Macaca mulatta: one gene and its partners. The protein of the gene in region 3 interacts with the protein of the main gene of each other region in a pairwise test. Links are inferred from orthologs where the notes say so. Each region holds a gene or a part of one and is shown on either strand. Other genes may lie near its edges.

Region 1 (3,748 bases), about 70 Mb from region 3:
CTTCACAGAACCTCCCCCTCGACCCCAGTCCCTTTGTCCTGCTACATTCACCTAGACCACCAGACCTCTTTTCACCTTCCCACTCTGGACCCCATGCTCGTTCATCTGAACTGCATTCCCACTGGCCCTTGTAATTCCCTTGTGTTGCTATCGTCCTATCATAACTGCCTAACAAAACCTCAACCACGGCTTAAGGCTGCACCTAGCTCTTTTCAATCCTATATTGTGCCAGTTGCATGGTACCACGTAAATCAGACTGTGAATATTATGTAGTCTACAAATTCATGGCCTTTGATCTCAGTCAGGCTCCTAGCCCTGAGGGCACTTCTTTTACTTTTGTTTCATTCCATCTCCCATTACAATATTCCAGACCTTTATCACTCTCCTCAAGATGCCTACTGACTCCCTGCCCCTCCATCTCCTTTCCTATGACCTCAAGCATAAGGTGTCCCTGCTCCCCTTAGGTCCTGGATTCCATTTTCTCCTAAATCTCACTCCTCTGTACCTTTACCTCTTTTACTTTACTGGATCCTTCAGCTTCACTCCCAAGTTTTCCCCATTCCAAAGAAGCAAAGAAAATAAAACTTTCTCTTAATCCTCTGTCCTCCTCTATCTACCATCCCATTTCCATGCTTTTCAATTAAAACTTTTCAAGAAGTCCAAATTACCACTTCCCAGTCAGTTCTATAGTCACTGCAATCTGGCTTTTGTTTCACTGAAATCACTTTTACCCAAGGCCACCTCTAATTTCCAAATCTGCCGTGCTTGATAGACTATACCCTCTCTCTTTAAAACATTCTGGTCTCTCCTGCCTCTGGCCACCATTCTGCACTCCCTCTATCTGTCTGCCTTTCTCTGCCTGTCCTAGATCACATCCTCTGCTCTCTGCTCTTTTAATTCTATAAACTCACCATGGATAACTGCATACACTCTAATGGGCGCAACTACCATCTATAAGTTAATGACTCCTAAAACTTACATGTACAGTCTAGACCTCTCCCTCAAACTTCAGACTCAAATATTCAACCACTTCCTGACTACATCTCCACTGAGATGTCCCACAGACACCTCAAAGCCAATCTATCTGAAAGTGAATTCATCAGTCTCATCCCTGCTCCTCATGTATCCTTGATGTTAGCCTGCAGGACCTGCAACAGGTTAGAAATCCAATCCAGAAAACAGAATGATCGTTGATCCTCCCTCACCACCCCTCCCCAACCCAATAAATCACTAAGTCTTGACTATTTCACATCCTAATGTTTACAGAATCTTTTCTCTTTTCTCAGTTCCCACAGCCACTGCCTTAGGTCAGTCCACCATCATCTCTCACCAAGACTACCACAACAATCTCCTTACAGGTCTTTCTGATCCTTAACAGTCCTTTTTAGCACCACATATAGCACTCTCCATGATCTGGTCTCTGTTTCTGTTTTCATTCTCACCACTTGCCATTCTGCCTTGAGTTTTTGCTCCAGCAACACTACACTGCTCACATCATGCTGTTTCCCACCTCAGTGCTTTTGCTGCTGGACCCCAAGTTAGGAATGCTTTAACCTACCCTCAATGCTCATCTTGACCTCTGCCTAATTCGTCTCCAGGAAGCCCTGTTCCCCAGCTAAATGAAGCACTTCTCTCAATTTCTATTATATCCCATACACATCCCTCAACACTACATTTAGTACAGTGCTTTATGATCACTAAGCCTTTATCTTCGGGAGCTCCTTAAGGCCAAAATCTTTTTTTTTTTTTTTTTTTTTTGAGACAGAGGCTCGCACTGTCGCCCAGGCTGGAGTGCAGTGGCACGATCTCGGTTCAATTGCAACCTCTGCCTCCTGGGTTTAAGCGATTCTCCTGCCTCAGCCTCCCGAGTAGCTGGGATTACAGGCGTGCACCACCATGCCTGGCGAATTTTTGTATTTTTAGTAGAGACGGGGTTTCGCCATGTTGGCCAGGTTGGTCTCGAACTTCTGACCTCGTGATCCACTCTCCCTCGGCCTCCCAAAGTGCTGGGATTATAGGCGTGAGCCACCGCACCCAGCCCTCTGTCTTATTTTTATATCCTCAGCGCTTAGCACTGTGCCTGGCACATTTCTGTTCAATGGATGAATGATTCCTTCCCCGATGGAGGGCATGTCATTCTGTAAGCACTAAAGTGAACTTTAAGGACCATAATCAATGTGTACTTCTTATTACTGGCTTTTGATAAGACCCAATTTTAGAGCTCTAATAACCCCTCAAAATAGCAGCCCTAAAGTCATCGCCTCCGAGGAACTATCCCCACCAGATTCCATTACCCATCAGGGCGCTCCCTGAACCGTAGCCCAATGTATTCCTACAGATGGAATCGATGGGGCCACTGTGGGGCCACTGGCTACCTGCTGCATTCGTCCCGGACTCCGGAGATGGACTGTCTGTTCCCTCCCTTCGCTCCTCACCCGCCCCCATTCTCCTGGATCGCTCTGGCCGCTCTACCTTTCCCCGCTTTTCCAGAACCACTTTTTCCTTTGGGCGGCATCTTGGAAGCTTGTTGTTGAACTCTGAACTACTCCAGTTGCCGTTCAAGCCCCCTTACACCGCCATGGGCATGTCCTAAACAAATGCCTGAAAGCCGCATCTCAATTGACCGTTCTTATTGAGGCTCCGGAAGCAGGCACAGCTCGGGGCAGACCCTGTCCTTTGGCTCTTGGACCAATGGGGCTGAAGATGTCTGACCAATAAGACGCTTCGGGCCGAAACAAAGGCGGAGGGGCGGAGACAAAGGCCGGATTAGGGCGGGAAGCCCCGCCTCTGCGCTTTTTGTGACTTCTTTCACGCACCGTAATTTGCACCAGATCCCCCACTCCCCACGCTCTACCCCCGAAACCTCCAAGCTTTTTTCACGCTTGCGCAGTAGGAGCCGCGGGGGCCTCTGCAGTCCCTCGGCGCCAGCTCTGGCCAATCCCGCGGGGCCGCCAGACGAAGGGAAGCAGGAGGAACAGTGGTGGCGGCTAACTTCTGCTGTCTCCTCCTACACATAGGGTTGTCCGCCCTGGCAGTTTTTCGTTTGTTAATTTTATTCTGCAGTTGTAGCTAATTGGGTTCAAAAGGTAGTTTTTTAAAAAGCCTGTTACCCTTTTGCCTCTTGCAGAGCTCAGTCATGGAGAAACATTGGAAGCAGTCTTAAGTGCTCCTCAGTCGGGTACTGCTTAAATAATGTTTTAGCCACACAAAAATATATTATACAACATTCAAAATAACGGTTTTGAACAGATAGGGGAAATGTTTTTTTTTTTTTTTTTTTTTTGAGAGGAGTCTCGCTTTGTTGCCCAGGCTGGAGTGCAGTGGCCGGATCTCGGCTCACTGCAAGCTCCGCCTCCCGGGTTTACGCCATTCTCCTGCCTCAGCCTCCCGAGTAGCTGGGACTATAGGCGCCCACCACCTCGCCCGGCTAGTTTTTTTGTATTTTTTAGTAGAGACGGGGTTTCACCGTGTTAGCCAGGATGGTCTCGATCTCCTGACCTCGTGATCCACCCATCTCGGCCTTCCAAAGTGCTGGGATTACAGGCTTGAGCCACCGCGCCCGGCCTGGGGAAATGTTTTTAAGACCAAGATAAAGAATATGATTCCTTGTAAAAGAAGTATATGTAATGCACTGTATGGTATATGAATATAAAGGAGAGGAAAGCTATACAGCAAGATGTGGCCAGTGGTGCTACATACAGGTCATCGTGTTTATTTCTGTGTATTTTCCAAAATTTCCATAATGGTG
Region 2 (3,748 bases), on a different chromosome or scaffold from region 3:
TCGAATCCACATTGTGTCTGCCTCCCAAGTGGCTCCGAACCCTACCTTTCCTCCAGATGTCCAGTTCAGAATTTGATTTTCCTTTCTTTTTTCTTTTTTTCTTTTTAGAGATGGAGTCTCCCTCTGTCACCCAGGCTAGAGTGCAATAGCACAATCTCGGCTCACTGTAACCTCCGCCTCCCGGGTTCAAGCGATTCTCCTGCTTCAGCCTCCCGAGTAGCTGGGATTACAGGCGTCCACCACCACGCCCTGCTAATTTTTGTATTTTTAGTAGAGATAGGGTTTCACCATGTTGGCCAGGCTGGTCTCAAACTCCCGACCTCAAGTGATGCACTTGCCTTGGCCTCCCAAAATGCTAGGATTACAGGCATGAGCCACTGTGTCCAGCCCAGAATTTAATTTTCACAGCAGGATGGAGTGGTCAGACCATCAGATCTCAAAAGCTGGTTGCTGTCGCACTGCAGAGGGAAACGGAAATGTGCAGTCCCCAGAAAGCAGAATGTCCCTGAGGGCTTAGTGACCTTGAAGCCGTAGGGAAAGTCTGGGGCCTCCACCCTCACTTCCTTTAAAAACCGAGGTTGGGGTTTAGCTAGAGGCAAGGGAACTTTTCACTTTGCACCTTGTCCACTTTCTTTTAGTTGACTACTTCGCAGCTGGCATTGTACCTTGATAATGATCATTTCAACTGAAACTATTCCTCTAAAAAGAATGGAGTCCAAGGCCTGGGAGTTGGATTCAGGCTCTGGGACTCAGGAGTTGATCTCCTTGACGTTCACCTGGAGCAAATTTAGCCTCAGCTGATACTTAGGAGGCAAAGGCACAGACTTGGGGATGCGGGGAGCTCAAGGGCTGTCACCCTGTAGAAACCCTGCTGACGCCCAGTTCAGGCCTGGCCTCGGGGCTGGCCGGCTCCTCCTTGCTCCCTCGTTTCCAGCGAGAGTCTGGGATGGCACCCACAAAGCTGGTGGCGTCAGCCCTCCTGCCCCCAACTCCCAACAGTACTGGAGCCAGGTGGTTAGCAGGTCCGGGAGGGAGCAAGAACGAGGGACGCCACCTGGGCTGGAGTTCTTGGTTTCCTGTCCTGGCTCGAATGGGGAAGAGCCTTAAGAGAGCCTCGCGCCAGGCCCCCGGAGGGAGCCGCGCCCCTGGCCCTGGGGGCCCCTGTGGGGGTTCGCGGCCGGAGCGCAGGCTGGGCCGGGGTGTCTCCCGGAAGCCGGGCTGGCCCAGGCTGCCCCATATGGAGTTGGGAAAGTCTCAGGCTTTCGGTTTGAACCTAGGAGGCCGAGCAGCCGGGCAGAGGTTCCCGACGGCCATTGGCTGCGGCGGCGCCGTGACATCAGCGCGGAGGGGTGCTCGGGGAGGGCGCGGGCGGAGCCTGGAAGGGGAGTGTCCTGGCGGCTCCCAGCCCTGAAAGCCCGAGAGCCAGAGGGAAACAAACGCCGGCGCTGACAGGGGCCGCTACCCCCGCCGCCGCGCGGAGCCCACAGAGGAGACAGCGCAGCTGGGTCGGCGCTCGGGTCCCCGGGGACCGAGGTAGGCGACGGGTACCCGCCTCTGGCTGTGGTAGCCGCCTTCGCGCTGGGTGCTCAGGGTGGGCTTGGGGGGGCTCGAGCCCCCCTGTGGGGCAGAGAGGATCCAAGCTAGGGATGCGAGGCCGCGGCGCGGGGAGAGGGGCGCGGAGTCCCCACTTCTCGGCGCTCGCGCTTCTCTCCGCACCCGCCGCGGTGACTGGGACCCGGAGACGCGCACCCAGTGTCCTGGCAGAGCGGGATGTGCGGAGGAGGGGGTGGCAGGGAGCCGGGCGCAGCGTCGCCGGGACTCGATTTCCTTTCTACGCTGGAACTCTTGGGCTTGGCCGAGGGCGCCGCTGGGCGGGTTGGGGGCTGGTTTTAAAGGGCCTCCCCCTTCCCAGGAATGGGGTGTGTGTCGGTGTGGGCAGGAGGGCAGCAATCGGCGGCGCGCGGCCCGCGATCTCCGCGAGGGGGGCGTGTGTGCGCCCGGAGTTCTCCATGAATAAGAACCGAATTCTCCGCCTGAGCAGAGGCGTGTACACATCTCGCTCTCGTACACACACTGCAGCACACGCCACCCAATGTCACGCGGCCGGGGAGCCAGCGGGAAGGAGCTGTCTGGAAGGGAATGGCCAAAGGAACAAATGCTTCCCCGTTCCCCCACTCCCGCCCCGCGAACCCTTCCCTTCCCCGCCAGGATCCCGCCCCGCCCGCTCCCTCGGAAGCCCGGGAGGTCGAGGCGCCTCCCGGCGGGGTGCAGGGGGAGAGCAGTCGAGCCGCCTGTCCCTTTGGAGCCCGAGAGGCTGCTGCGCACGGGGCCGGTGCACCCAGAGCTCAGCGCGCTCCGCGGGGTCGCTGGCGGGAGCGGTTGGTTAATGATTTAATCGCCCGCTTGGGGCGGGTGCGCGCGGAACGGCCGTCCCTGGCCCCGCCCCCTCCCCGGAGCGCCCCCAGCCGGGGTTACAAAACTGCCCCCTCCCTCCGGCACGTCCCCTAGGAGCCGTCCTGCCCGCGGGGATCCGGTCAGTCGGTGAGTGCCCAGGCCAGGAGGGCTGGAGAGCTGGGCGGGAGCCGGGGCTGAGGCTGAGCCGGCTTCCTGGGAGAGGACTGAAGTGCGTGTGTGTGTGTGTGTGTGTGAGAGCAAGAGAGCGAGCGAGCGAGCGAGAGGGACTGGGGGAGGGGTGCTCTCTGCTAACTCAAACCAGGTTGCCTGTGTTTTCCCAGTGACTGCGGCCTGGGCTTTGGAAGTTTTCTTTTTCTCCCTGGGAGAATGGAGGGGAAATACAATGCCTTTTCTTTTCTTGCTGCCTCTGGAACTTCTCTCTCTCCACGACTCCCACCCCTTGCAATCTGACCAGCTCCCACATCTCTTACTGGGTGCCCGGTGCCCACTGTTTGCCCAGATAGCTGAGCAGCTGGATCCGGGTGGAGTCCTCGGGAGCCCCTTCGCTGCGAAGCCCCCTGCTCTCCCCGGAGGGGCCCGTGTGCTGGAGGGAAAATCTCTCGTCCGAAACCAGCAGCCATCTGGACCAGAGAAAGGTCCCATCCAGCGAGTGTAAACAATGAGGGGCCGGTGACAGGGGCCTCCTGCAAGGCAACTTCTTTGGCAGTCTGGGTTTCCAATAACTCCCGCAGCCCCCGCCCCCTTCTGAGGCTAGGGTGGAGGAGGGACCACCAGCAGGATGGACTGAATTTTAAGAGAACAAAGAACAGGCCACAAAGGAAGGGATTGCTGAGCTGCGGATTTCTCCCAGAAATCGGGAGTTGGCTGGGACTGAGCCAGGCCCTGAGAGAACCCCTGGCAGCCCCAGGGGCTCCTGGAGCAATAATGGGGCATCCACCAGGATCTCCTGAGGCTCTATCTCTGCTGGGAAGCCAGAGCCTGCTGAATGCGGGGGTGCCCTGCCGGTTCCTGCTCTCACCAACTACCCTGTGTGAGCTGCCCGTGTGACTGACTGATTAGTGGGGTGGTTTATCTCCTCTGAACTTGGACTTTGCCTCTCCACTCCTTGAAGACAGCTGCTCCTTCCCACAAGGGGGGGAGTTCAGTGAATTTGGGGAGATCCCAAGTAGATTCCCAGGCATCCTGGTAGACCCCTGCAGGGACTAGGAGGGGGCCACTGTGATCCTATGGGTGGTGGTTCTGGGGTGAGTCTCAGCGCCTCCCCTCTGAAATCTCCCTGAAGTCCTAGGGTCCCTGCCACTGAGGGCAGTTTGCTCCTGCTCTGCGGTACAGC
Region 3 (3,648 bases):
TATATTTCTAGGTAAAATTTCCACTTTACCTTTTCCTGTTCTAAATAACTCCTACAAACTATTCATGAATCCTAAAAATACATTTACCAATACTATTATATCTGGAACAATACATTCAAAGTGAAAATGGTAAGTAATTTAAAATGTATAACCAAAATGTCTTTCCATACATTCAGAAACAAGCAGACTTTCTTCCATTATGCACGTGGTGTATTTTATAATGTATTATGTTACCAAATAGAACAGACCTTTAAGAATTGGTCACGTAGCAGCTTCATCTCTTTCAGCCTCTCTCTCCTAACACTTCTATATTGCTGCCACCTCTTCTGTTGTTCTTGAAATATTTTCTAGAATCCCACAACAAAATAGTGATAAAAATTGGGTAAATTTTAATACTTACAAAACACAATTCTCCATTAGCTTTAAAGGAATACTCTTTAAATCAATACTTCTGAACACTTTCTTTTAGACAACATTTAGGACCAATTTTAAACAATCGTGTTCGCCAATCACATGCTAAAAATGATGTATTAACCTTTTTCATCAGTCATTAAGTAAATAATTTTCTTACTTTCACATATTCAACACGTATGTCCTAATTTCTTGATTTCCAATGAAGAATATTTGATGAACCTTCCTACAATTTGTTGACCACAGATAGGTAAGATCTATACAGAAATTAACTAAGACACATTCTTTCTAGGATTTTAAGCATGTATTAAATCTTGGTCATTTCAATAGGCACATAGATGAACCACCCAATAATGATGGCCTTTCTGCACCTTGACTTAATCTCCAACAACAGTGTTCTCCTCTCCTCTACGTGGCACTCACTCGCACAGTCATCCCCTAGATTTTGTCATTCCCAATGACTGCAACACCTATGTAATATTAATAATAGCAATGATAAGGAGCAACCATGGGTCAGATCACATCCTGAAAAACTTAAATAAACCCGTTACATAGAAACCTTTTGATCCTCCAACAACTCTGATGTAGGTACTCTTACCATGTCTCCTTTCGTAGATAATTTGCCCGTGGTTTCTGAGCTAGCAATGGTCAAGCTGAGATAAATAATTTTTCCACGGTTTCCGAGCTAGCACAGAGATAAATAATTTTTCCGTGGTTTCTGAGCTAGCAACGGTCAAGCTGGAGTTGGATCCCAAGCAGTGTGGCTGCATAGTCCCAGCCCTTGAACCACTGTAGTCAGCTGTTTCTCCATCTTCCCAACATACAGCCACTACCTCCCTGCCATTGTAGGTCACTCACTTCAGTACTATAGCTCAGGAGTCTGTCGAGACCTGACACCCACTGAATGGAGCACTGTTTACTGCCCATTGCCCACCCCATGTGCTCGGGTAACTCAGTCCCAGCTGAAATTCCACAGCCAGTCATCTATCCTCATCCCTGCATCTATTCCCTGCCCAACTCTCCCTCTGTCAATCTGCTCGGCTAGACCCCAACCCAGGAAATTCCAACCCTACAGCTGCTCTTACACAAATACTCCAACTGGGCTCACTTCAATTTCTTCATCGTTACGATGCTGACTTCAGTTGGACCCCTAATGCTGCATGGCAATTATATTCCCCTGGTATATGAGTCCACTAACGGGCCCCCTCTCTGGGCTCATGCACTCTTCCTTCTTTGCTGAATTTCTGCATGAACAATTACTCCCTGAGACATTGATACAACACGTTAAACATAAAGCTAAGCCTGATACCAACAATTAGTTCTTCTTCTTCTCCCTCTTCTTCTTCTTCTTCTTTCTGCTCATCTGTGATGTATTCTTCAAGGACATTCAGCAACTTCAGAGAATGTATATAATCACGTTTCTGCCTGTAACACATAATAAGTAACACGGTCAAACTTCATAGAGAGATGAAAAATTAATCCTATTCAAACCTAAACTGACTTGACATAATTTATCCTATAAAGTAGCAAGGGAGTAATAGTAGCTGAAATCTTCTTTTTGGAAAAAGGTGAAATGAGTTGCTCTCATTCTGAAAGGATTCCTTCCTTCCTGACTACTAGAGCAGCTATCTTATATTCTTTACCTGCTGAAGACAAAGGAGGGTTTACTGCACTATAAGTTTCCCAGAAACATTCATTTTCTCTAAGAGCAGTTTACTTTTCATTTCCTTTTACTGAATAACATATGGGTTCTCATAAGTAGGTTCAAGAATATCATAGCCATTCATCCCGTAAGATTTCCCAGAAGAAATGCTTCACTTAACTATTTCTCCACTTTGGCACACCAATGGTTTTGTAAAAGAAATAGTGAAAACAATTTAACTAAAATAGATAACTTATTTACAACATAAGGTTATCCCTTTCTACATAATTCAGTATTGTTAAGGATCTACAGACTAAACATTGAGAACATTTATCTTATATGCAGCTACCATATTTCTAGAAATGGATAAACATTAATTTTACAGGAAGACTATTTTTATCTGGAAGGCAAAAAGAGGTCATCTTCATTGACTTCTAGGTAATATCTCTTGATTCTGTTAAACTGAGGTTATAAAACTAAAGAAACTTACCTGCTTAGAGAACAATCAAGTAAAATATGTTGTTCACTAGAGACGCCAATATGTACAGGGTAGTTTTTGAAATTATTTGCACCAACGAATACAAAGAAATGATATAAATATCATTACGCGAGAAAGCCAACAGTCATACCTTTTAAGTTGTTTTTTTCTCAAAGCATTTTTACTTTTGTTCTTTGTTTTGCTGCAAGCTTTATCCATTTTCATCCTTTTTCTTTTTGCAGTAAGATCCTCTTTAATGTCAGTTAGTAAATGAAAATGGATTAAAAGTTAATGTTGAAAAGTAGTTTATTTGCATATACTGACATCAATATGGGACATTATGGTTCAGCAATACAAGAAGGATATTTAAAATATAAAATTCAAAAATCATTTCAAAAAGCAAGATTTACTCACTTATTTTCTGTAAAACATTTCAGGTATTAATATTCGTATTTCAATTCCAATTTGTATAACTGAAAATCACTTAATTGACGGATGATGAAAAAAAGCAAATAATTAAAAGTTTCTATTTTTTAAATGTGCAGAAAGGGTTATAAGCACAGACTTTAATTTCTACATTTACAAAATGTCCTACAATTCAAAGGAGATGTTTCCATGAAATACTGCACAACTCATTATGTAAAGCACACAAAAAAGTATCATATAGTAAAACCATCCAAAGGGTAGAAATAAGTTAATACACAGTAAGAAAAGCATTTTTAAGCAATCTAGTGATTGATGCTATTAACTGTATTTTAATAAAAGAAGCCATGGCCATGAGTATGAAAATTTAGGTTTAGGTAAAGAAATACACTCAAAAACACTTTTAAAATATTTTCTTGCAGCTTTTTATATGACATTTGTGCCCATAGTGCTGTGTTTCAGAAAACTGTAATACTGCAAGGAATGCTTTCCTAAACATGATTTCACATCAGAGACCTACCATCAATTGCTAAAAACAGTTTTCAGCAATCATAAAAGATTTGTACCATAATGCAAATATTTTTTACATACAGTCTCCATCTATAACGCCCAATGTATTAGGCAGCTCACAAAACCAGCACTTTTTGTCACCAAGCAGAGCAAAGCTTTCCAAATATACTGCTTGTATGAATCA

Evidence for each region.
Region 1: the proteins of FAM9B (region 3) and PIN4 interact in binary tests that used the Homo sapiens proteins (3 or more experiments, as listed by UniProt). The two-hybrid records come from large-scale screens. The link is inferred for Macaca mulatta from reciprocal best matches to the Homo sapiens genes FAM9B and PIN4.
Region 2: the proteins of FAM9B (region 3) and CDC42EP4 interact in binary tests that used the Homo sapiens proteins (3 or more experiments, as listed by UniProt). The two-hybrid records come from large-scale screens. The link is inferred for Macaca mulatta from reciprocal best matches to the Homo sapiens genes FAM9B and CDC42EP4.

The regions. Positions count from the first base shown.
Region 1 is NC_133426.1:78,727,675-78,731,422, reverse strand, and holds the start of PIN4 (peptidyl-prolyl cis-trans isomerase NIMA-interacting 4), read right to left. Parts: upstream 2,545-3,748; 5' UTR 2,516-2,544; coding exon 2,473-2,515; intron 1-2,472.
Region 2 is NC_133421.1:82,962,488-82,966,235, reverse strand, and holds the start of CDC42EP4 (cdc42 effector protein 4), read left to right. Parts: upstream 1-1,430; 5' UTR 1,431-1,533; intron 1,534-1,916; exon of another isoform or gene 1,917-2,541; intron 2,542-3,748. UniProt on the Homo sapiens protein: Probably involved in the organization of the actin cytoskeleton. May act downstream of CDC42 to induce actin filament assembly leading to cell shape changes. Induces pseudopodia formation, when overexpressed in fibroblasts.
Region 3 is NC_133426.1:8,565,041-8,568,688, forward strand, and holds part of FAM9B (protein FAM9B), read right to left. Parts: intron 2,783-3,648; coding exon 2,683-2,782; intron 1,837-2,682; coding exon 1,725-1,836; intron 348-1,724; coding exon 249-347; intron 1-248. UniProt on the Homo sapiens protein: May play a role in meiosis.